Saccharomyces cerevisiae S288C: one gene and its partners. The gene in region 1 interacts genetically with each later gene. Each region holds a gene or a part of one and is shown in the gene's direction. Other genes may lie near its edges. The genes, in order: MMS1, HSL1, RRM3 and RAD27.

What was found.
Region 2: mutations in MMS1 (region 1) and HSL1 together harm fitness more than expected from each alone (negative genetic interaction), as found in Saccharomyces cerevisiae (5 studies listed by BioGRID).
Region 3: mutations in MMS1 (region 1) and RRM3 together harm fitness more than expected from each alone (negative genetic interaction), as found in Saccharomyces cerevisiae (6 studies listed by BioGRID, with this or other methods).
Region 4: mutations in MMS1 (region 1) and RAD27 together harm fitness more than expected from each alone (negative genetic interaction), as found in Saccharomyces cerevisiae (4 studies listed by BioGRID, with this or other methods).

Annotation. Positions count from the first base shown.
Region 1 is NC_001148.4:868,837-875,469, forward strand, and holds MMS1 (Mms1p), read left to right. Parts: upstream 1-1,866; coding exon 1,867-6,090; downstream 6,091-6,633. Other genes in the region: TIF3 (Tif3p), read right to left, coding at 1-1,119; Rho family GTPase RHO1, read left to right, coding at 6,532-6,633. UniProt on the Saccharomyces cerevisiae protein: Component of multiple cullin-RING-based E3 ubiquitin-protein ligase complexes (CRLs), which mediate the ubiquitination of target proteins. The CRL associates with CDC34 as the E2 ubiquitin-conjugating enzyme.
Region 2 is NC_001143.9:247,132-254,026, forward strand, and holds HSL1 (protein kinase HSL1), read left to right. Parts: upstream 1-1,788; coding exon 1,789-6,345; downstream 6,346-6,895. Other genes in the region: metalloaminopeptidase APE1, read right to left, coding at 1-551; YKL102C (uncharacterized protein), read right to left, coding at 931-1,236; YPF1 (aspartic endopeptidase), read right to left, coding at 6,566-6,895.
Region 3 is NC_001140.6:170,299-174,693, reverse strand, and holds RRM3 (DNA helicase), read left to right. Parts: upstream 1-1,723; coding exon 1,724-3,895; downstream 3,896-4,395. Other genes in the region: ERC1 (Erc1p), read right to left, coding at 1-1,350; mitogen-activated serine/threonine-protein kinase SLT2, read left to right, coding at 4,350-4,395. UniProt on the Saccharomyces cerevisiae protein: 5' to 3' DNA replicative helicase recruited to paused replisomes to promote fork progression throughout nonhistone protein-DNA complexes, naturally occurring impediments that are encountered in each S phase where replication forks pauses.
Region 4 is NC_001143.9:224,221-227,697, reverse strand, and holds RAD27 (multifunctional nuclease RAD27), read left to right. Parts: upstream 1-1,822; coding exon 1,823-2,971; downstream 2,972-3,477. Other genes in the region: DNA-binding protein ABF1, read right to left, coding at 1-1,128; DNA-(apurinic or apyrimidinic site) lyase APN1, read left to right, coding at 3,243-3,477. UniProt on the Saccharomyces cerevisiae protein: Structure-specific nuclease with 5'-flap endonuclease and 5'-3' exonuclease activities involved in DNA replication and repair.

The DNA of each region.
Region 1 (6,633 bases):
CTCATCAGTAGTCTTTTTGTTAGTTAGAGACCTATCCTTGTAGGTATTTTTGGTTTGTTGAGGCTTACCAAACTGAGCACCTCTGGCAGCACCCCAATCCAAAGCTGGTTCTTCCTTTTCTCTTTCTCTTCTTGGTGGTCTTGAGGAGCTTTGGAAGTTGGAACCTCTGGCTGCACTCCAGTCAATATCTGGCTCTTCTCTTTCTCTTCTTGGTGGCCTCGAGGAGCTTTGAAAGTTAGAGCCTCTAGCTGCACTCCAGTCAATATCTGGCTCTTCTCTTTCTCTTCTTGGTGGTCTGGAAGAGCCTTGGAAATTGGAGCCTCTTGCAGCGCTCCAGTCGATATCAACTTCTTCTCTTTCTCTTCTTGGTGGTCTGGAAGAGCCTTGGAAATTGGAACCTCTTGCAGCAGTCCAGTCAATATCAACTTCTTCTCTTTCTCTTCTTGGACCTCTGAAGTTAGAACCTCTAGCGGCACCCCAATCAAGATCTGGTGCATCTTCTCTTCCATCACCTTGGAAATTGGAGCCTCTAGCACTACTCCAATCAACATCTGCACCTCCCCCTCTTCTTGGAGCCGCAACAGAAACGTAAACAGTTCTCTCATTCAATTTAGTACCGTTGAACTTCAGAACGGCGACCAAATCTGCTCTTTCTTTCAAAGTAACGAAAGCATTACCCTTTAATCTTGTTGGGTCTCTTAGATTCTTTGGCAAAACAACTTCTTCAACCGCTTCAGGCTTAACTAAACCATCTTCAACCCAGGCTTGAACACCCTCTGGGGTAATATCCCATGGAATGTTGTTTATGACAGCCCTATATGGTGGAGCATCTGGAACAGGGTATTCCTCTCTTCTATCGGAAGAACCGCCCCCCAAAGCAGGGTCTAATCTAGATCTACCTCCAAAACTGCCACCAAAGCCGCCTGAACGCGTGTTATTGCTGTTGTTTTTAGCATGAGCCAATTCGGACAATGGAATAGTGTTTGCATTAGCGGTTTCAATAGGAATTGTGATCTTATTCAAATCGACATCTTCTTCAGCCCAAGATGAACCAAAGGTGTCATCATTTAAAAATGACGTAAGGTCCATCTTCTTTACGGTTTTCTTTGGTGGAGCCATGATGTGTCCTTTTTATTATGGTATTATTTTCCTAAAGACAGATGAAAGCTAATATAAACTCGAGTTTTATGATAATCCCGCTTATTGGTCTACTGATCTTCTCTAACTCTGTAGTTATATCTATCTCTTCTGCTTCTATTTCTGCTTTTCTTTAGCGATGCTGATTTCCGCAAAAAAATTTTCATTCCGTGGTGCGTGATCTGATGAGAAATAAAGCCAAAAAGAAAAAAAGACAAGAAGACAAAAAGGTTGGGCGGCTAAGTAGCGCCAGGATATAAAAAGCAACATAGATTTCAGTACCCTATTATCCTGCCAAAATTTACTTTAAGAAGTCTCTATGAATATACAGGCTAAATTTGGAAACATGAGAAAGGAAAGATGAAGATACAAAGATTGCAAGCAGTCAAGAAGATTTAGGAAAAAAGGAAAAAGCAAAAAATATCGATTTTTATGACTTACAAACTAAATTGATATGTTCGAAATAATTTTGAGAAGCTGAGCTCAATCTGGTACTAATCACTTCAAGTTAGATGTGCAAAGAAAGAGAATAGCATAAATTCAAAACCAAAGGAAGTGCGAGGCATTACCCGCATATTATCGGGAAACAGAAGCCATGTTAGAGTGATTTCCAACAAATGGCCCTTTGCCAGAGATGGGCTCTGCAAAAGAATTGGAAGAAGAGAAGAAATCGCTTCACATTCCGTTTCGTTTCTGGGTCTAATTAAAGTAGTACGGTGTCAATTAGGTATGCTAGGTTTGCGAACTCATGGTTTAGACAGGTATGAACATTATATTCGTCGCCCGTCGGATTTTGGCAAACTTGAGCTGCAAGATTGGTTGAATCATAAGTCATTCCGAGTTTCCCCCAATTTATTAATTGATTCAAGCACCACACGTGAGTGGAATGAACCTGAGCTTTTTTATCAAAATACCGAGGATGAAACTTGGGTGAGACCTTGTGTAGGGCCAAAGCTAGAACCATCAATGATGATGCTCAGATATCACGATTCGAATATTGGTCAAATGCCTCAATTTTGTTATCCAATCTCAAGTCCGATAAATTTTAAACCAGTATTAAAATACATTTTGCAAGAACGTTCTGAACTGTCAGACGGCTTCCCTCAAAAGTATAACACACTAATAGGTAGTCTTTTTGACATTGATAAAAACCCAGAAACCTTAGATGATTCAGATATAGAAGCATTGGATGACATAGAAATGAGCAGTGACAGCGGTAATGTTAAAGAACCAAAAATTGAATTGCAGGCGCTGGAAGAAATCCAACAAAAGCATTTCAGTTTAATAGTATCCAACAATGGAATCTTTCAAACAGGTAGCACTTCAATAACATACATACAGTCTGGCATATCTGGCAGCATAGCTATAAAACCCAACAACGTTGCAATTTTAATATTACTCACTCAACCAAGTGGTCACTTATTGTCTATTTTACCGCTTGATGACGGTAAAGAGACATATTTGCTACAATATTGGAACCTGGGACAAAAAGGTCAGTGGAACATAATCAAGCACCAAAACGAGAAGCAGTTTGTTCTTATACATAAGGAACTAGGCATTTGCAAATTTTTTGAATTCCATTTACCATTTACTTTTCAATTAGTAAACAATTTAACATTGACCGATTCCGTGATTATGAACGGATCCTTTTTCCCAACAAATTACACTGATTTAGATCCCTATTTCATTATATTTATAACAGCCATAAGATATGAAAGGATAGTCTACTTTGTCATAGAATGGAACAACAACGAAATAAAGAAAAAAGAGGTATATCAATTGACAGTATTTGATGGTGAGAAGACTAATATGACAATACCCATTGGACTAAATGCATGTTTAGTCGAAACACCCCTAAAGTTCTCTTTAGTTTCTGCAAATCAAATTATGTCAGGAGAGACTGAATTCCACTCATTCCAATTGAAGGCTCTCAAGGGAATCAAGTCATTTTTTCCAGCTCCTTTATTGTTATTAAAATTACAAGAACTACACCCACATACATTTAAAAAATTCCAATATTGTACCATAATATCCTCCTCGACAGGAAATATTTGTTTTTGCGTCACCGAACGATCGACAATAGTAAATGGTAATTTAAAATTTTACGAGCTAACTAGGTTCAAAGGATTGAAATCCATTTCACCACTACCTTCAAATCCGATAAATTTAGACTCCAGATCCTCAAGTTATGTACTGGTGGTCATAAGTTTTAGTAGAACATTAGAGCTAACATTATCTCTAGAAGATTTGAGATGTTTAGATAAAAAAGACGTTATTAAGCCTTTGAAAAATATCACCTTCAAGCACACAATTGATAGTTCCACAGAGGAGAACTCTCAAATTTTAGCATTTACGTCTTCTAAATTTTATAACACACACACAGGCTCTAACATCAATGACACGAGAAATTCTCAAGTTTGGCTTACCTCACCAAATGCAATAACTCAACCTTGCATTGATTATAAACTCAGGAAAACTCATCAACTTATCCACTTAAAGCAATTTCAAATTTTTAGACATCTTAGGATATGGAAATGTAAGAACCTTGATATTGCTCTGTTACAGAGACTTGGAATAAACCAGTCAAATACCGAAAGTTCGTTAATTTTTGCGACCGACGCTGTTTCTAACAACAGAATATTTTTATTAGATTTAACTATGACAACGACAATCGATAATGATGATCCCGTTCAAGGACTGATAAATATAGAAGATTTACTATGTGATACTGAAAACGAAACTATCCTTCTAAATTTTACGAAAAATAACTTGATTCAAGTAACTAGGGATACGATATACATCGATCCCATTGGTGGGGACAAAGAGTTGCGTAAGATTTCTCCAGGTTGGGAATTCGAAAACGTTACATACAATGATGGTATTTTAATAGTTTGGAATGCTGGGCTTGGCTGTGTCTCTTATATTGAAAATATAGACGCTGTTGATGAGTCTGGCGCCTTAGTTTCAAACTTAAGCAGCAGCAAAGGCATGAGCAAGTTCTTCAAGCAGTTAGGAACTGTCACGAGTGTCAATTTTCAAATCAAAGAGTCTACAGATGATCCAACCAAGTATGACATTTGGATCCTTTTACCAGACTGTGTCATTCGTACACCCTTTTCTGACTGGATTAGTGATTCACTTGATTTTTCTGATGTGTATATTTTGAGTGTTCAGCAGGCGTTAATAAACGGCCCTTATTTTTGCTCTCTCGATTATGAATCATATTTTGAGGTGCACACTTTACAGAACAACTGCTTCAAAAAAGGATCCAGATGTACAAGCAGAGTTAATTTTCAAGGGAAAGATATTAAATTTAGAAGCTTTGGTGTGAATCAATGTTTGGCATTTAGTGCATTTGAAATTTTTGTCATCAATTTAACGCCAATTCACGACAGTAGAGAATTGGATTTTTACAAGCTAAAATTACCGCACCTAGGTAATAACAATTCAATTCTTGAAGTCTGTCCGGACATAGAAAACAACCAATTATTCATACTCTACTCTGATGGCTTAAGAATCCTCGAACTATCATACCTAACATCAAATAATGGAAATTTCTTATTAAAATCTACAAGAAGCAAAAATAAGAAATTTTTATATCTAGACAAAATAAATCGAATGCTGGTATTGAATCAGGACTTGAGGGAATGGGAGTGTATTAGACTATCAGATGGTAAGGCAGTTGGTTTAGATTCTCAACTTCTTAAGGATGATTCTGAAGAAATCCTAGAAATAAAGGAATTACCAATAGCAACAGAGGACAATCCTTTAGAAAAGAAAACTGTATTATTGATCTCTTTTACTAGCTCATTAAAACTAGTTTTATTAACTGCTGCAAAAAACAAAATTTCCAATCAAATAATAGATTCGTATAAACTTGACAATTCAAGACTCCTCAATCATTTGGTCATTACTCCCAGAGGTGAAATATTCTTTCTGGATTATAAAGTTATGGGCACCGATAACGAAATGTCCTTTAACAAGTTGAAAGTCACAAAACATTGCATTGACCAGGAGGAGAGAAATAATACGACTTTGCGGCTCACTTTGGAAACCCGGTTTACATTTAAGAGTTGGAGTACAGTTAAGACGTTTACTGTAGTAGGCGATAATATCATTGCTACCACAAATATGGGCGAAAAGCTCTACTTGATTAAGGATTTCTCTTCATCATCTGACGAATCGAGAAGGGTGTATCCCTTGGAAATGTATCCTGATTCAAAAGTTCAAAAGATAATACCATTAAATGAATGCTGCTTTGTTGTTGCCGCTTACTGTGGAAATAGGAACGATTTAGATTCAAGATTAATTTTTTACTCTTTACCCACCATCAAAGTTGGGCTTAATAACGAAACAGGCAGCCTACCAGATGAATATGGGAATGGGAGAGTCGACGACATATTCGAGGTTGACTTTCCTGAAGGATTTCAATTTGGCACTATGGCTTTGTATGATGTTTTACATGGTGAGAGGCACGTAAATCGTTACAGCGAAGGCATACGGTCGGAGAATGACGAAGCAGAGGTTGCCCTAAGGCAGCGTAGAAATTTACTACTCTTTTGGCGAAACCACTCTTCTACACCAAAACCTTCACTACGCCGAGCCGCCACTATAGTATATGAGGATCATGTATCATCCCGTTATTTTGAGGATATAAGTTCTATATTAGGAAGCACTGCAATGAGAACTAAAAGACTATCTCCCTATAATGCGGTAGCATTGGACAAGCCTATTCAAGATATTAGTTACGATCCCGCAGTACAAACTTTATATGTGCTAATGGCAGATCAAACAATTCACAAATTCGGCAAGGACAGGTTGCCTTGCCAGGACGAATACGAACCAAGATGGAATTCTGGCTATTTGGTTTCAAGAAGGTCAATAGTTAAATCTGACCTCATCTGTGAGGTTGGGTTATGGAACCTTAGCGATAACTGCAAGAACACAGTATAATTCCCTCATTTCCAATAACATTGTCGCTGATAAAATCGTGATTCTCGATCAATGTGCTACGCGTCGTGCAGCGTGACAAGGGGCTAAAAAAAGATACAAGAATTCTTGTTGTTTCCAATTTGCTTCGCCTCAGAAAAAAAAATAAACAGATTATACAATTTTTGTTTGATTTGTATTGGGTACTACATGTTTTAGTAGTTGATACAAATACTTCTTTATCCTAATCGTATATATTTATTTTACCAGCAGGAATTCGTCTTTAATATCGTTTCGACCATCGATCATTCCTCTGAGTATTGCAAAAACATTTTTGGAACAACCCAAACTTAAAGTTACAAAACTCAAAAAAGGAACAAAATTAATAAAACAAAAGAATCGCTGTTAGAGGTTTATTGTTGCACTAATAGAAAATCATAGAACTTTAAAAATTATACTAGAAAGATGTCACAACAAGTTGGTAACAGTATCAGAAGAAAGCTGGTAATCGTTGGTGATGGTGCCTGTGGTAAGACATGTTTATTAATCGTCTTTTCCAAGGGCCAA
Region 2 (6,895 bases), on another chromosome or scaffold:
TTCTTCTTGTAAAGAAGGCGACCACCAATACCTAGGTCTCTGTCTAGCCACAATTCATTCAGTGTACCTCCATAGGGAGCAACAGCAATTCTTCCGTAACCTTCCGCTGTGTCTTTAAAGGAGACGGGCTTCAATTTGACCGTCAAAGCGTCCACATGAGATCCAATGACACCGACACCCTTTTCGGCTCTCCAGTTTTTGCCCAGGATAAAGGCAGATAGGTTAGTTCCATTTCTTATAGTGTAGAATTTCCCACCATCTTCGCCAATGGAGTCCTGCCAATTGGATTTCTCGCTCAAGTATTTGAAGTTATGCTTATCTAACAGCTCCGCGAAAAATGATACTACATGGTAAGTGGTAGGGTTCTTGTAAATGAAATCAATGAATTCCTGTGCAATATCCTCATAATTGTGCTCGAGGATGCACCACGAATTTTCATTTTCTTTCTTTTCCTTTTCTTCGTTGGCGATTTGGTTATTTTTAGATGGCTCTACAGTTAGCATCTGCAGAGTTTTCTTCAATTGTTCCAGTATTTCACGTTGTTCCTCCATTCTTTTTTTCTTAATTTTGTTGGTTGTGCAGGTTTCTACAATTGCACTAAGATTACTGATCAGGCTCTATACAGTGTATGTCTTGTTCTGTGAAGTCAACTGCTTATAAATGAATTTTTATTATCTAATGGAACGATTAAGGGGTGTGTCAACTATTTCACTTAACCCTATTCTTTCTTACTGTCGTTTGCTTGCATAGCCTATCTTACAGTAATAGAGGTGCAAAACAGCATCACCCCTAGTTGTTTTTCCCGAAAAACCTATCCCAGATTATTTTTTTTTTGAATTAGACAAGAAATCATCCGAAGACCTATTATGCTTCTGATTAAACCTTGAGAAAAACGGAAGTTTGCAACCTATACCCTAAAGTAGAAGCTGACTAATTCATATTCCTCACGAAATGGTGCGACCTCTCTTTATCCATGAGAAAAGGAAGGAGTGGGTTCTTGTTTGATGCTTCTTTATCTGATACCAACAAGCGCAAGAGATAAGGGATTACAATGTTATCATGCCTCAGAAAGTAATAGGATGACATTTTCTTGCAAACGTTGACATTAAAAACATAAAGTACCTTACGGCGTTCGGAGCCTACAAGCCTGCCACAATTTGAGCCGCTGCACAAGAGAACACCGAATGAACAACTGGCTGCAGCTGTCGATGAAACCTCAGCGAATAAAGCACACATTTGTGCGTTTTACAATAACAGGGAAGGTGGAATGTGTTGCCTTCGTCCTTATTTTTCGCGTTGTGAAATATTTTTACTAATTTTTCTTTTCGCGTGGTCATTTTCGCGTTGGGTTGTTTGGGCTAAATAGTGAAAACTAATCTCCATCACGTACCGTACCGTCTTGTACCGGCTGGGAGCAGCATTATAGTGGCCACTCTTATTGGCGTTCTTAATATAAGCAAGTTACCTTTTGCTCGAAACCTGTTTCTTCTTAAAACTCCCTTTGGATCGTAAGTTCGCTAGTTATCCGACTGCAAGGACGTAAATTGGACAGCGAGAGGCCATTAAAACAGAGAGTTGAACTCAAATAGATCATCAAATAGGTTGGATATCCATCATACTACTTGCTACTAATCGCGAAAAGAGATAAATAATAAAATTACAAGAAAGACAAGGTAAAAAGAACGACATAGATTTGCGGGACAAAAAATACTGATAAATAAATCAACAACCAACTATATTCACTCCTTTATTATTTGTTATTAATATTTTTTATTTTTACCACACGACATGACTGGTCACGTTTCAAAAACGAGCCACGTACCCAAAGGTCGCCCGTCTTCATTGGCCAAGAAGGCAGCTAAAAGGGCCATGGCCAAAGTAAATTCGAATCCAAAAAGGGCGTCGGGGCATTTGGAGCGTGTTGTACAATCTGTGAACGACGCTACCAAAAGATTATCTCAGCCCGACTCTACCGTAAGTGTTGCTACAAAATCATCAAAGAGAAAATCCAGAGACACGGTGGGTCCTTGGAAACTTGGCAAAACATTGGGGAAGGGATCTTCTGGTAGGGTTCGCTTGGCTAAAAATATGGAAACAGGACAATTAGCTGCCATTAAAATTGTCCCCAAGAAGAAAGCCTTTGTTCATTGTTCTAATAATGGAACTGTTCCTAATTCTTACTCTTCTTCCATGGTCACTTCCAATGTATCTTCTCCATCAATAGCATCTAGAGAACATAGTAACCATTCTCAAACGAACCCATATGGCATAGAGAGAGAAATAGTAATCATGAAATTGATATCTCACACAAACGTTATGGCATTGTTTGAAGTTTGGGAGAACAAATCAGAGCTGTACCTAGTTTTGGAATATGTTGATGGTGGCGAATTATTCGATTATCTGGTCTCGAAGGGAAAGCTACCTGAAAGGGAGGCTATCCATTACTTCAAGCAGATAGTTGAAGGTGTTTCCTATTGTCATTCTTTTAATATATGCCATCGTGATCTGAAGCCTGAAAATTTATTATTAGATAAAAAGAATAGGAGAATCAAAATTGCTGATTTCGGCATGGCAGCATTAGAGCTTCCTAATAAACTTTTAAAAACTTCATGTGGCTCTCCACACTATGCGTCTCCTGAAATTGTTATGGGTAGACCATATCATGGCGGTCCTAGCGATGTCTGGTCCTGCGGTATCGTTTTATTTGCATTACTCACCGGTCATTTACCATTTAATGATGACAACATCAAAAAGCTGTTGTTGAAAGTTCAATCGGGCAAATATCAAATGCCCTCAAATTTATCTTCTGAGGCTCGTGATTTGATATCAAAAATATTGGTAATTGATCCAGAAAAAAGAATTACCACTCAAGAGATATTGAAGCATCCTCTGATCAAAAAATATGATGATCTCCCAGTTAATAAAGTGCTGAGGAAAATGAGAAAGGATAACATGGCGAGGGGAAAATCTAACTCGGATTTGCATTTGCTAAATAATGTCTCGCCCTCTATTGTAACTTTACATTCAAAAGGGGAAATTGATGAATCCATCTTGAGGAGTTTGCAAATTTTGTGGCATGGAGTTTCTCGTGAACTAATCACTGCCAAGTTGCTTCAAAAGCCAATGTCGGAGGAAAAACTATTCTACTCACTGTTATTACAATATAAACAACGTCACTCAATATCATTGTCCTCGTCAAGCGAAAACAAGAAATCAGCAACAGAAAGTAGCGTAAATGAACCTAGGATTGAATACGCATCCAAAACTGCCAATAATACAGGCCTAAGGAGCGAGAACAATGATGTGAAGACTTTACATTCTCTAGAAATTCATTCAGAAGATACTTCAACAGTGAATCAGAACAACGCAATTACAGGGGTTAATACAGAAATTAATGCCCCTGTATTGGCACAAAAATCGCAATTTAGTATCAATACGCTCAGTCAACCTGAAAGTGATAAGGCTGAAGCAGAAGCTGTAACATTACCACCCGCTATTCCCATATTCAATGCTTCTTCATCAAGGATTTTCCGTAACTCATACACCTCTATTTCATCACGTTCGAGAAGATCGCTACGCTTATCGAATTCCAGATTATCATTGTCCGCTTCAACTTCTAGAGAAACTGTGCATGATAATGAGATGCCTCTACCTCAACTGCCGAAGTCGCCTTCAAGATATTCATTGTCAAGAAGGGCAATCCACGCCTCCCCATCTACTAAATCAATACATAAATCACTTTCGAGGAAGAATATAGCTGCAACTGTTGCCGCTAGAAGAACACTACAAAACTCGGCTTCAAAGAGATCCTTATACTCATTACAGTCAATTTCAAAACGTTCCTTGAACCTGAATGATTTATTAGTCTTTGACGATCCTCTCCCTAGTAAGAAACCAGCATCCGAAAATGTGAATAAATCAGAACCCCATTCGTTGGAATCAGACTCTGATTTTGAGATCTTATGCGATCAGATCTTATTTGGAAACGCCTTAGATAGGATACTCGAAGAGGAAGAGGACAATGAAAAAGAACGCGACACCCAAAGACAGAGGCAAAACGATACAAAATCTTCGGCAGACACTTTTACGATCTCTGGGGTGTCTACAAATAAGGAAAATGAGGGCCCGGAGTATCCAACCAAAATTGAGAAAAATCAATTCAATATGTCATATAAACCATCTGAGAATATGTCAGGGCTCTCTTCATTTCCTATCTTTGAAAAAGAAAACACGTTAAGCTCAAGTTATTTGGAAGAACAGAAGCCAAAGAGAGCGGCCCTTTCAGATATCACGAACTCATTCAATAAAATGAATAAACAGGAAGGTATGAGGATAGAAAAAAAGATTCAAAGAGAACAACTTCAAAAAAAAAATGACCGCCCGTCACCACTCAAACCTATTCAGCACCAAGAACTTCGTGTAAATTCTTTGCCTAATGATCAAGGTAAACCGTCCTTATCTCTAGATCCCCGCCGTAACATCTCCCAGCCAGTGAATTCAAAAGTGGAATCACTATTGCAGGGACTGAAATTCAAAAAGGAGCCAGCCTCTCACTGGACCCATGAGAGAGGTTCCTTGTTCATGAGTGAACATGTGGAAGACGAAAAACCAGTCAAAGCCTCAGATGTTTCAATCGAAAGTTCATATGTACCTTTAACAACAGTAGCAACATCTTCGAGAGATCCCAGTGTTTTAGCAGAATCTAGTACAATTCAAAAACCAATGCTGTCTTTACCTTCTAGTTTTTTGAACACATCTATGACGTTCAAAAATCTTAGCCAGATACTCGCTGATGACGGTGATGATAAGCATCTAAGTGTGCCACAGAACCAATCTAGAAGTGTAGCCATGTCACACCCTTTGCGAAAACAATCTGCCAAAATATCTCTAACTCCACGGTCTAATTTGAACGCCAATTTATCCGTTAAACGTAATCAGGGCTCACCTGGCTCCTATTTGAGTAATGATCTGGATGGAATCTCTGATATGACATTTGCGATGGAAATACCAACAAACACCTTTACCGCTCAGGCGATTCAACTGATGAACAACGACACGGACAATAATAAAATCAATACTTCGCCCAAAGCATCTTCTTTTACAAAAGAAAAAGTAATCAAATCGGCAGCCTATATCTCGAAGGAAAAAGAACCAGATAATAGCGATACTAATTATATTCCAGATTATACTATACCAAACACATATGATGAAAAAGCCATTAATATTTTTGAAGATGCGCCCTCCGATGAGGGTTCATTAAATACATCTTCTTCAGAAAGCGATTCACGAGCAAGTGTGCATAGGAAAGCGGTATCTATTGACACTATGGCGACAACAAACGTTCTTACTCCCGCGACAAATGTTAGAGTAAGTCTTTATTGGAATAATAACAGTTCTGGTATACCCAGAGAGACTACTGAAGAGATACTTTCTAAACTTAGATTGTCACCAGAAAATCCTTCTAATACACATATGCAAAAGAGGTTTTCTTCCACGCGTGGTAGTCGTGATAGTAATGCATTAGGCATTTCTCAAAGTTTACAGTCAATGTTCAAAGATTTGGAGGAAGATCAAGATGGGCATACTTCTCAAGCTGATATTCTTGAATCAAGTATGAGCTATTCAAAGCGAAGACCATCTGAGGAAAGCGTTAATCCAAAACAACGAGTGACAATGCTTTTCGATGAGGAGGAGGAAGAATCTAAAAAAGTAGGTGGGGGAAAAATTAAAGAAGAGCATACCAAGCTAGACAATAAAATATCCGAGGAATCTTCTCAACTTGTGTTGCCGGTGGTTGAAAAAAAGGAAAATGCAAATAATACAGAAAATAACTACTCTAAAATACCAAAACCCTCAACGATTAAAGTTACGAAGGATACCGCTATGGAATCAAATACACAAACCCATACAAAAAAGCCAATTCTAAAAAGTGTCCAAAATGTTGAAGTTGAAGAAGCGCCTTCCAGTGATAAAAAGAATTGGTTCGTCAAACTATTTCAAAACTTTTCTTCTCATAATAATGCTACTAAGGCATCCAAGAATCATGTAACGAATATATCATTTGATGATGCGCATATGCTAACATTAAATGAATTCAACAAGAATAGTATCGACTATCAATTAAAGAACCTAGATCACAAATTTGGGAGAAAGGTGGTGGAATACGATTGTAAATTTGTAAAAGGCAACTTCAAATTCAAAATCAAGATTACTAGCACACCCAATGCATCTACGGTAATTACTGTAAAAAAAAGAAGCAAACATTCAAACACAAGTTCCAATAAAGCCTTTGAAAAGTTTAATGATGATGTGGAGAGAGTAATTCGAAATGCCGGACGTTCATAAATTCTATATAGATGTTATATAATTATACAACAATAATTTGAAAAATTTAACGTACGAGAACCGAATGGACAGGCGTGAGAAAACATAGTTTAAAAGAACATTAATAAATGGAGAGACATGAGACACGAAGGAAAGAAAGAGGGTTTTACAAACATTGTCCTAGATTAGAAGATAAATACAACCCTGGAGGGGTAAAAAGAGCTGTCGTTTCTTTTGGAGCTCAAGAAGATTCGTCATCCAAGAGATCTTCTTCAGAAAGCTCTTCCTCAGAGCTGTCACTGAGATCTTCCTCTTGCACGAATTCTTCATCATCGTCAAAATTTTCGTTTACATCATCACCAAGCAAGGCATACTTGTCGGCATCATTATAGTATTCTGATAGGATGAAGGTCGAATAAGTTATAGAGTTCTCCTTTTTTTCTATCGCTTTTTTTAAACTTTTATCCACTTCAATCGTATCATACTGAAAATTCCAAAACTGCTTAAAATCCTTGTTCCAGCAAGCTACCAAAATAGTACTAATCAACAAGGAAGGAACAATGTATAATAA
Region 3 (4,395 bases), on another chromosome or scaffold:
GATAGAGAAAGGCACTTGGTATGCAAGAGACGCAATCGTAGCCACAATCGACTGAGCGCCCAAGGCATCGGTGCCCAGATGGGAAGCGAAAATTGTCAACACTTCAAAGCCGAGGAACTCTGCCTCCACCATCACCACGCCGGGAATAGCTAGGTTAATCATCTTACGCCAGTTCTTAAATGCTTGTTCCTTAGGGATGATACCATTCCAGCATTTGAGTGGTCTCTCCTTGTGCTTGGTGGTCATTGCGTATATTAGTAATCCGAGCGTCATCAACCAGTAGTTGATCACAACCGATAATGGCGCACCAAGGTACCCAATCCCAATCTTGTCATTCCAAACAAGTAAGTAGTTCATCAATGCGTTCAAGGGTGCGCACACAAAGAGCACGATTGTGGATGCATGGAATATACCTTGACATTGTAGGAACCTCTTACCACATTCAAAAAGGATGAATCCTGGCACACCGAATGCGGTTACACGTAGATAGTTAGCCGCTAGCGCGCATAGTTCTCTCTCCGGAATCATTAGTGCTAGGATCTTTTCCGACCAAACAAACCAAACATACATCATTGGCAAGAACGCCAAGATGGTGATCACAGCACATCTCTGCACTAGCACACCCACCAAGTGGTAGTTTTTGGCACCGTATGCCTGCGCACACAGTGTGTCCAGACATGTACACAGACCTTGAATAGCAGCAAGACCCGTGATGTTAGCAGTCATAGAACCGAGTGTAACACCACCTAGCTCTTTCGTCCCTAAATGTGAGACGGAGAAAATAGATGCTAGTGACAACGAATTTTGCAAGATAAAGGTGAAGATTAGCGGCAACGCATTCATCGTGATCACTTGCGTTTCTCTCTTAAAAGTTGTGCTGATTTTCTGACCACTCTCGATCGCGCTCTCCCACGTATTTGCAATCTCAGCTGGTCTTTCTTCCTCGTCCGGTCCAATTGCTTGGCCATGTCCGTGACTTTCTATATCTCCCCCACCGTTGCCGTGTTGAGAGAGCAGTTTGTTGTCTATTAGCAGGTCCCGTTCTTCGTCAAGCAACCGCTTACGGTCGTGAGAGTCATAACCTTGTTGCCACGCTTCTTGTTGCAATGTCCGCGAATTGTTGGCATCTAACAACGAATGGTATTCACCTTCCCTCTCCGTCTCATCGTCATTGCCGGTATAGGAAGGTTCTTCTTCACTACCCTCTTGCTCTTCGCCCTCAATTAAGTTTTCTTCTGACTCCTGTGGGATGTAGTCTGCAGGCGTGAAAAGCCCTGCCTTCCCGACACTGGTGGAGTAGATAATCGATGATCTTCTGTCGTTGGTGGTATGACTAAATTGTTTAGACATAGTCTTCTTTCGTCTTCTTCTTCTATCTTCTTCACCGCTAACACAGACCCTTGACAAATCTGAAAAAGTACTTTTTAAGCCGGTCTATCTTCCCTTACCGGATTTATTTCTTTTGCCAGGGTTCTTTACTATTTTGTAGTTATCATAAATTTTTTTTTTCTTTTTAAGTTGCCGTGCTCTTCTATTTTTTTAGTCTTTTTTTTTTTTATTATTTTTTTTTTTTTCATTTTCCCTATAACGGGGCTAACCCGAATGCGCATGCATTATTCCGATATTATTACGTCAAAGAATATGTAAATAAACATCATCTCGAACAATAAGCAGAGGAGAACAAGCTCAAAAGTCGAGAGATTTGTTCTTATAAGACATCCCGATGTTCAGGTCGCATGCCTCCGGTAACAAGAAGCAATGGTCTAAAAGATCCTCAAATGGTAGCACACCTGCTGCTTCGGCATCTGGCTCTCACGCATACAGGCAACAAACGTTGTCTTCGTTCTTTATGGGTTGCGGCAAAAAATCTGCTGCTGCTTCAAAAAACAGCACGACAATAATTGATTTGGAAAGCGGTGACGAAGGTAACCGTAATATAACAGCACCTCCTAGGCCAAGATTAATACGGAATAATTCGTCTTCCTTATTCTCGCAGAGTCAAGGTTCGTTTGGAGATGATGATCCCGACGCAGAATTCAAAAAATTGGTAGATGTGCCGAGACTCAATAGCTATAAAAAGTCTAGCAGATCGCTGTCGATGACCAGCTCTCTTCATAAGACTGCCTCTGCGTCCACGACTCAGAAAACATACCATTTTGATGAGGATGAGACTTTGCGAGAGGTTACTAGCGTGAAATCCAATTCTAGACAATTATCGTTCACTAGTACAATTAATATTGAAGATTCTAGCATGAAACTTTCTACTGATTCAGAAAGACCAGCCAAGAGGTCTAAACCTTCTATGGAGTTTCAAGGTTTAAAGCTCACAGTACCAAAGAAAATAAAACCACTGCTAAGAAAGACAGTATCAAATATGGACTCAATGAACCACCGAAGTGCGTCTTCGCCAGTGGTACTTACAATGGAGCAAGAGAGAGTGGTTAATTTAATCGTCAAAAAAAGAACAAATGTCTTTTACACCGGTAGTGCGGGTACAGGTAAGTCGGTCATTTTGCAAACGATCATAAGACAATTGAGCTCTTTGTATGGGAAAGAATCAATTGCAATTACCGCCTCAACTGGGCTAGCGGCAGTGACTATTGGTGGTTCCACATTGCATAAGTGGTCTGGTATAGGAATCGGGAACAAAACTATCGACCAATTGGTGAAAAAAATACAATCACAAAAGGACTTATTGGCCGCATGGAGGTATACAAAAGTTTTGATAATTGATGAAATTTCTATGGTCGATGGTAATCTGTTGGATAAATTAGAGCAAATCGCAAGGAGAATTCGGAAGAACGACGATCCCTTTGGTGGTATTCAATTGGTCCTGACAGGCGATTTTTTTCAACTACCACCAGTTGCTAAGAAGGACGAGCATAACGTTGTGAAATTTTGTTTTGAAAGTGAAATGTGGAAACGGTGCATTCAAAAAACGATTTTACTGACAAAGGTTTTCAGACAACAGGATAACAAACTAATTGATATTCTAAATGCCATAAGATACGGAGAGCTGACTGTCGACATTGCTAAAACAATAAGGAACCTAAATAGGGATATAGACTATGCCGATGGAATTGCTCCTACAGAACTGTATGCCACAAGAAGAGAAGTTGAACTATCCAACGTAAAGAAATTACAGTCTCTACCTGGTGATTTATATGAGTTTAAAGCTGTAGATAACGCGCCCGAGAGATACCAAGCGATACTAGATTCTTCATTAATGGTGGAAAAAGTTGTCGCATTGAAGGAAGATGCACAGGTAATGATGTTGAAAAATAAGCCTGATGTAGAATTAGTTAATGGATCATTGGGAAAAGTTTTGTTTTTTGTTACAGAATCGCTGGTGGTGAAAATGAAGGAAATTTACAAGATTGTGGATGACGAAGTTGTCATGGACATGAGATTAGTGAGTCGGGTCATTGGTAATCCCTTGTTAAAGGAATCAAAGGAGTTTCGTCAAGATTTGAATGCCAGGCCATTAGCTAGATTGGAACGTTTGAAAATCTTGATAAACTATGCAGTTAAGATCTCTCCGCATAAGGAAAAATTCCCCTATGTGAGGTGGACAGTGGGTAAAAACAAGTACATACATGAGCTCATGGTCCCAGAGCGCTTTCCCATTGATATTCCCAGAGAAAATGTCGGGTTAGAAAGAACTCAGATTCCATTAATGCTATGCTGGGCACTGTCCATTCATAAGGCACAGGGTCAAACTATTCAAAGACTAAAGGTCGACTTGAGGAGAATTTTCGAAGCCGGCCAAGTTTATGTTGCACTGTCAAGAGCGGTAACTATGGACACCTTACAGGTCCTAAACTTTGATCCAGGAAAGATTCGCACCAATGAAAGAGTAAAAGATTTCTATAAACGTTTAGAAACTTTGAAATGACTTGCAACGAATAAATGCATATACTCTAGTTGAAGTTTTCTTTTCTTGTTCTATACAGGTTCGAATACTTGTGAGCCTATCTGTATAATTTAACAGAATCCCGAAATATTCATCTAGAAGCCATCTATTTAGCTAAGCCTACGTATGCGGCGATTTTTATATTATCTTTTTTTTTTTTTATAGAAGACTGCGAAATGTTGGCAGAATGGAAAGTTTCAGTGTTAAAAATAGAAACTGAAAAAGGAGATCTAGCCAGGAATATATCGAAAAAAAAAGTGAGGGAAATCAGATCCTACACAAATATTTAGATTTAATTGAAGACCCTGGTCTGCCAGATATATATATATATTAGACGAACTGTGCATTCAGTCAGCAAATCTAGGCCACAGATTTTCTTATTGAAGCTATCAAAATAGTAGAAATAATTGAAGGGCGTGTATAACAATTCTGGGAGATGGCTGATAAGATAGAGAGGCATACTTTCAAGGTCTTCAATCAAG
Region 4 (3,477 bases), on another chromosome or scaffold:
ATTATTGTAAGAGCTTTCTAGTATTTGATCAAACTTTAAATCGTTTTGTAAAATCTTTGGAATCTTAGTTAGGATAAATTTACCCAGTGACAAGTTATCTTCTAGTGGGTGACTATGATAGGGCTCAATTTTGGTAACGACAAATGGGCCCGGTATATCATCGGTAGCAGAATTGAAGACGTCTAAATTCATAGACGTGTCTCGTATGGAGGATGGTGAGTGGGAGGAAATGCCGTGGCTACCGACATTGTTGTTATTGATATTGCTGTTATTGTTGTGATCGTTATTAGTATTATTATCTTGGCCATCATTGTTGTTAGTGGCATCATCGTCTTTTCCATCGTGCTTATTGTTTGATTGAGAATCTACATTTGCGACGGCATTGGCAATGGCAACGTTGATGTCTTCATCGTTCACTACGTCAGAATAGTTTTTCGTCATTTGGGTATGGACGTCATCCTCCTCGTTGTGACGGTGGTTACCGCTGTCATTACCATGAGTAGGACCGCTCTCGTCGTCCAATCCCCGGTCAATAGAGGCCTTATTTATCGAATCATCTTCAGTGTCGTTCTTGATAGTAACACCTTGCTGTTTAAAAATGTTGTTGGCATCAGCATCATCGTCATTGTTCCCATTCACCTCATTGCTTCTCGACTCCACTTTGTCATTGGTGTCGTCCGGATGAGTGTTCGCCAGATGGTATTCAAGATCATCAGTAACGAAGTCAAGTTTACTGTCATTGCTAACCTTATTATTACTGCCATTGTTATTATCATTGTCCTCGTTGTTCATGTTGTTGCTATGATGATGAATATGATCAGGAGTACCCGGAGGGTTGGTATTATTATTTGCAGAAGGAGATGAGGTTTCTGAGGATGCAGCATTGCCAGCATAGCTTAGCAAGACTTTAAATGGACAGTTTTTCAAATGACAGGCAAATGTAAAATGTTTGTTCCTATGCGAATTCTTTAAAATAATAGGGCAACGCGTCTGAAATTCGTACTCATTAATTACATCATACCAAGCACCCAAGGTGGGAAATTTTTTGCCTCCATGGGCTCCAATGGCCAGGTCTTTATTAATTATAGGGTGCTTGTATTCATAATAATTCACGACTAATTTGTCCATCCTTGTGAAATTGCAAATATGGTGATTTGAAACGTTTCCTAGTGCAGCAGGATCACAGATAACGTGTAAAGGGCTTAGCAGTTGATAATCCTCTCTAGTTGAGATCTAAACAAAATGCTGTCACTAACCGTAGTATTAAATGACACACTTTGGTGACTTTCGTTAATGGGGATGTGGTAGTGGCCATTGCCAATAAACAAAAAGAACAGGGAAAGAAGTAGAAAGTGATATAAGTTTGCTTGCCACTTTTCGTTTTTCACGAAAAAAACAGGCGAAAAAAAATGCTAGACTAGTACCCGGCTGAATCACACCTCGTTAACAGTGACTTTCGGTGACAGATACCCGATTGGGCACCCGGCTGGTAAGTTATGATAGAAAGCCAACGCTGTACTATTGGCTTAGCTATGGCAATATTTTGATTATCAACTAGTTTTATTAACGTTATAATTAGTGTAACCAGTTTTTCATCTATTTCATTTATTTCATTTATTTACTTTAATTGCAGATCCCCCTAACGCGTTTAAAGCTTTTATTCACTAGCTTATGTATTTTTTATAGGAAACGCGACGCGTAACATCGCGCAAATGAAGGTTTTGATGTATTATAATGAGGTATTCTTCCTTATATACATCGATGAAAAGCGTTGACAGCATACATTGGAAAGAAATAGGAAACGGACACCGGAAGAAAAAATATGGGTATTAAAGGTTTGAATGCAATTATATCGGAACATGTTCCCTCTGCTATCAGGAAAAGCGATATCAAGAGCTTTTTTGGCAGAAAGGTTGCCATCGATGCCTCTATGTCTCTATATCAGTTTTTAATTGCTGTAAGACAGCAAGACGGTGGGCAGTTGACCAATGAAGCCGGTGAAACAACGTCACACTTGATGGGTATGTTTTATAGGACACTGAGAATGATTGATAACGGTATCAAGCCTTGTTATGTCTTCGACGGCAAACCTCCAGATTTGAAATCTCATGAGTTGACAAAGCGGTCTTCAAGAAGGGTGGAAACAGAAAAAAAACTGGCAGAGGCAACAACAGAATTGGAAAAGATGAAGCAAGAAAGAAGATTGGTGAAGGTCTCAAAAGAGCATAATGAAGAAGCCCAAAAATTACTAGGACTAATGGGAATCCCATATATAATAGCGCCAACGGAAGCTGAGGCTCAATGTGCTGAGTTGGCAAAGAAGGGAAAGGTGTATGCCGCAGCAAGTGAAGATATGGACACACTCTGTTATAGAACACCCTTCTTGTTGAGACATTTGACTTTTTCAGAGGCCAAGAAGGAACCGATTCACGAAATAGATACTGAATTAGTTTTGAGAGGACTCGACTTGACAATAGAGCAGTTTGTTGATCTTTGCATAATGCTTGGTTGTGACTACTGTGAAAGCATCAGAGGTGTTGGTCCAGTGACAGCCTTAAAATTGATAAAAACGCATGGATCCATCGAAAAAATCGTGGAGTTTATTGAATCTGGGGAGTCAAACAACACTAAATGGAAAATCCCAGAAGACTGGCCTTACAAACAAGCAAGAATGCTGTTTCTTGACCCTGAAGTTATAGATGGTAACGAAATAAACTTGAAATGGTCGCCACCAAAGGAGAAGGAACTTATCGAGTATTTATGTGATGATAAGAAATTCAGTGAAGAAAGAGTTAAATCTGGTATATCAAGATTGAAAAAAGGCTTGAAATCTGGCATTCAGGGTAGGTTAGATGGGTTCTTCCAAGTGGTGCCTAAGACAAAGGAACAGCTGGCTGCTGCGGCGAAAAGAGCACAAGAAAATAAAAAATTGAACAAAAATAAGAATAAAGTCACAAAGGGAAGAAGATGAGGGGGTTCTTTTTCCACTTTCTTCTTTTGGTCCTTCACCTTGGCATATATGTAACATAGATATTTGTATACACGAACTTTTTTCATCTAATACTTCTCTTTTTTTGCCAGTTTTTCTGGGAACTTGAACGTGGAATTTTTCATTCTTACCTGGTTTCTTTTTCTTCATTTCTTTACATGTTGGAAATCATTGTAAATATAAGATGACAAACTCCGAATAAGAAACACAAAACGCAACATTAATAAGCTTTTGGCATATCGGAACCATCGTAATGCCTTCGACACCTAGCTTTGTTAGATCTGCTGTCTCGAAATACAAATTTGGTGCGCACATGTCAGGTGCCGGTGGAATTTCTAATAGTGTAACTAATGCATTTAACACTGGCTGTAATTCGTTTGCCATGTTTTTAAAATCTCCAAGAAAGTGGGTTTCTCCGCAGTATACACAGGAGGAAATAGATAAATTTAAGAAAAACTGTGCAACTTACAATTATAACCCATTGACGG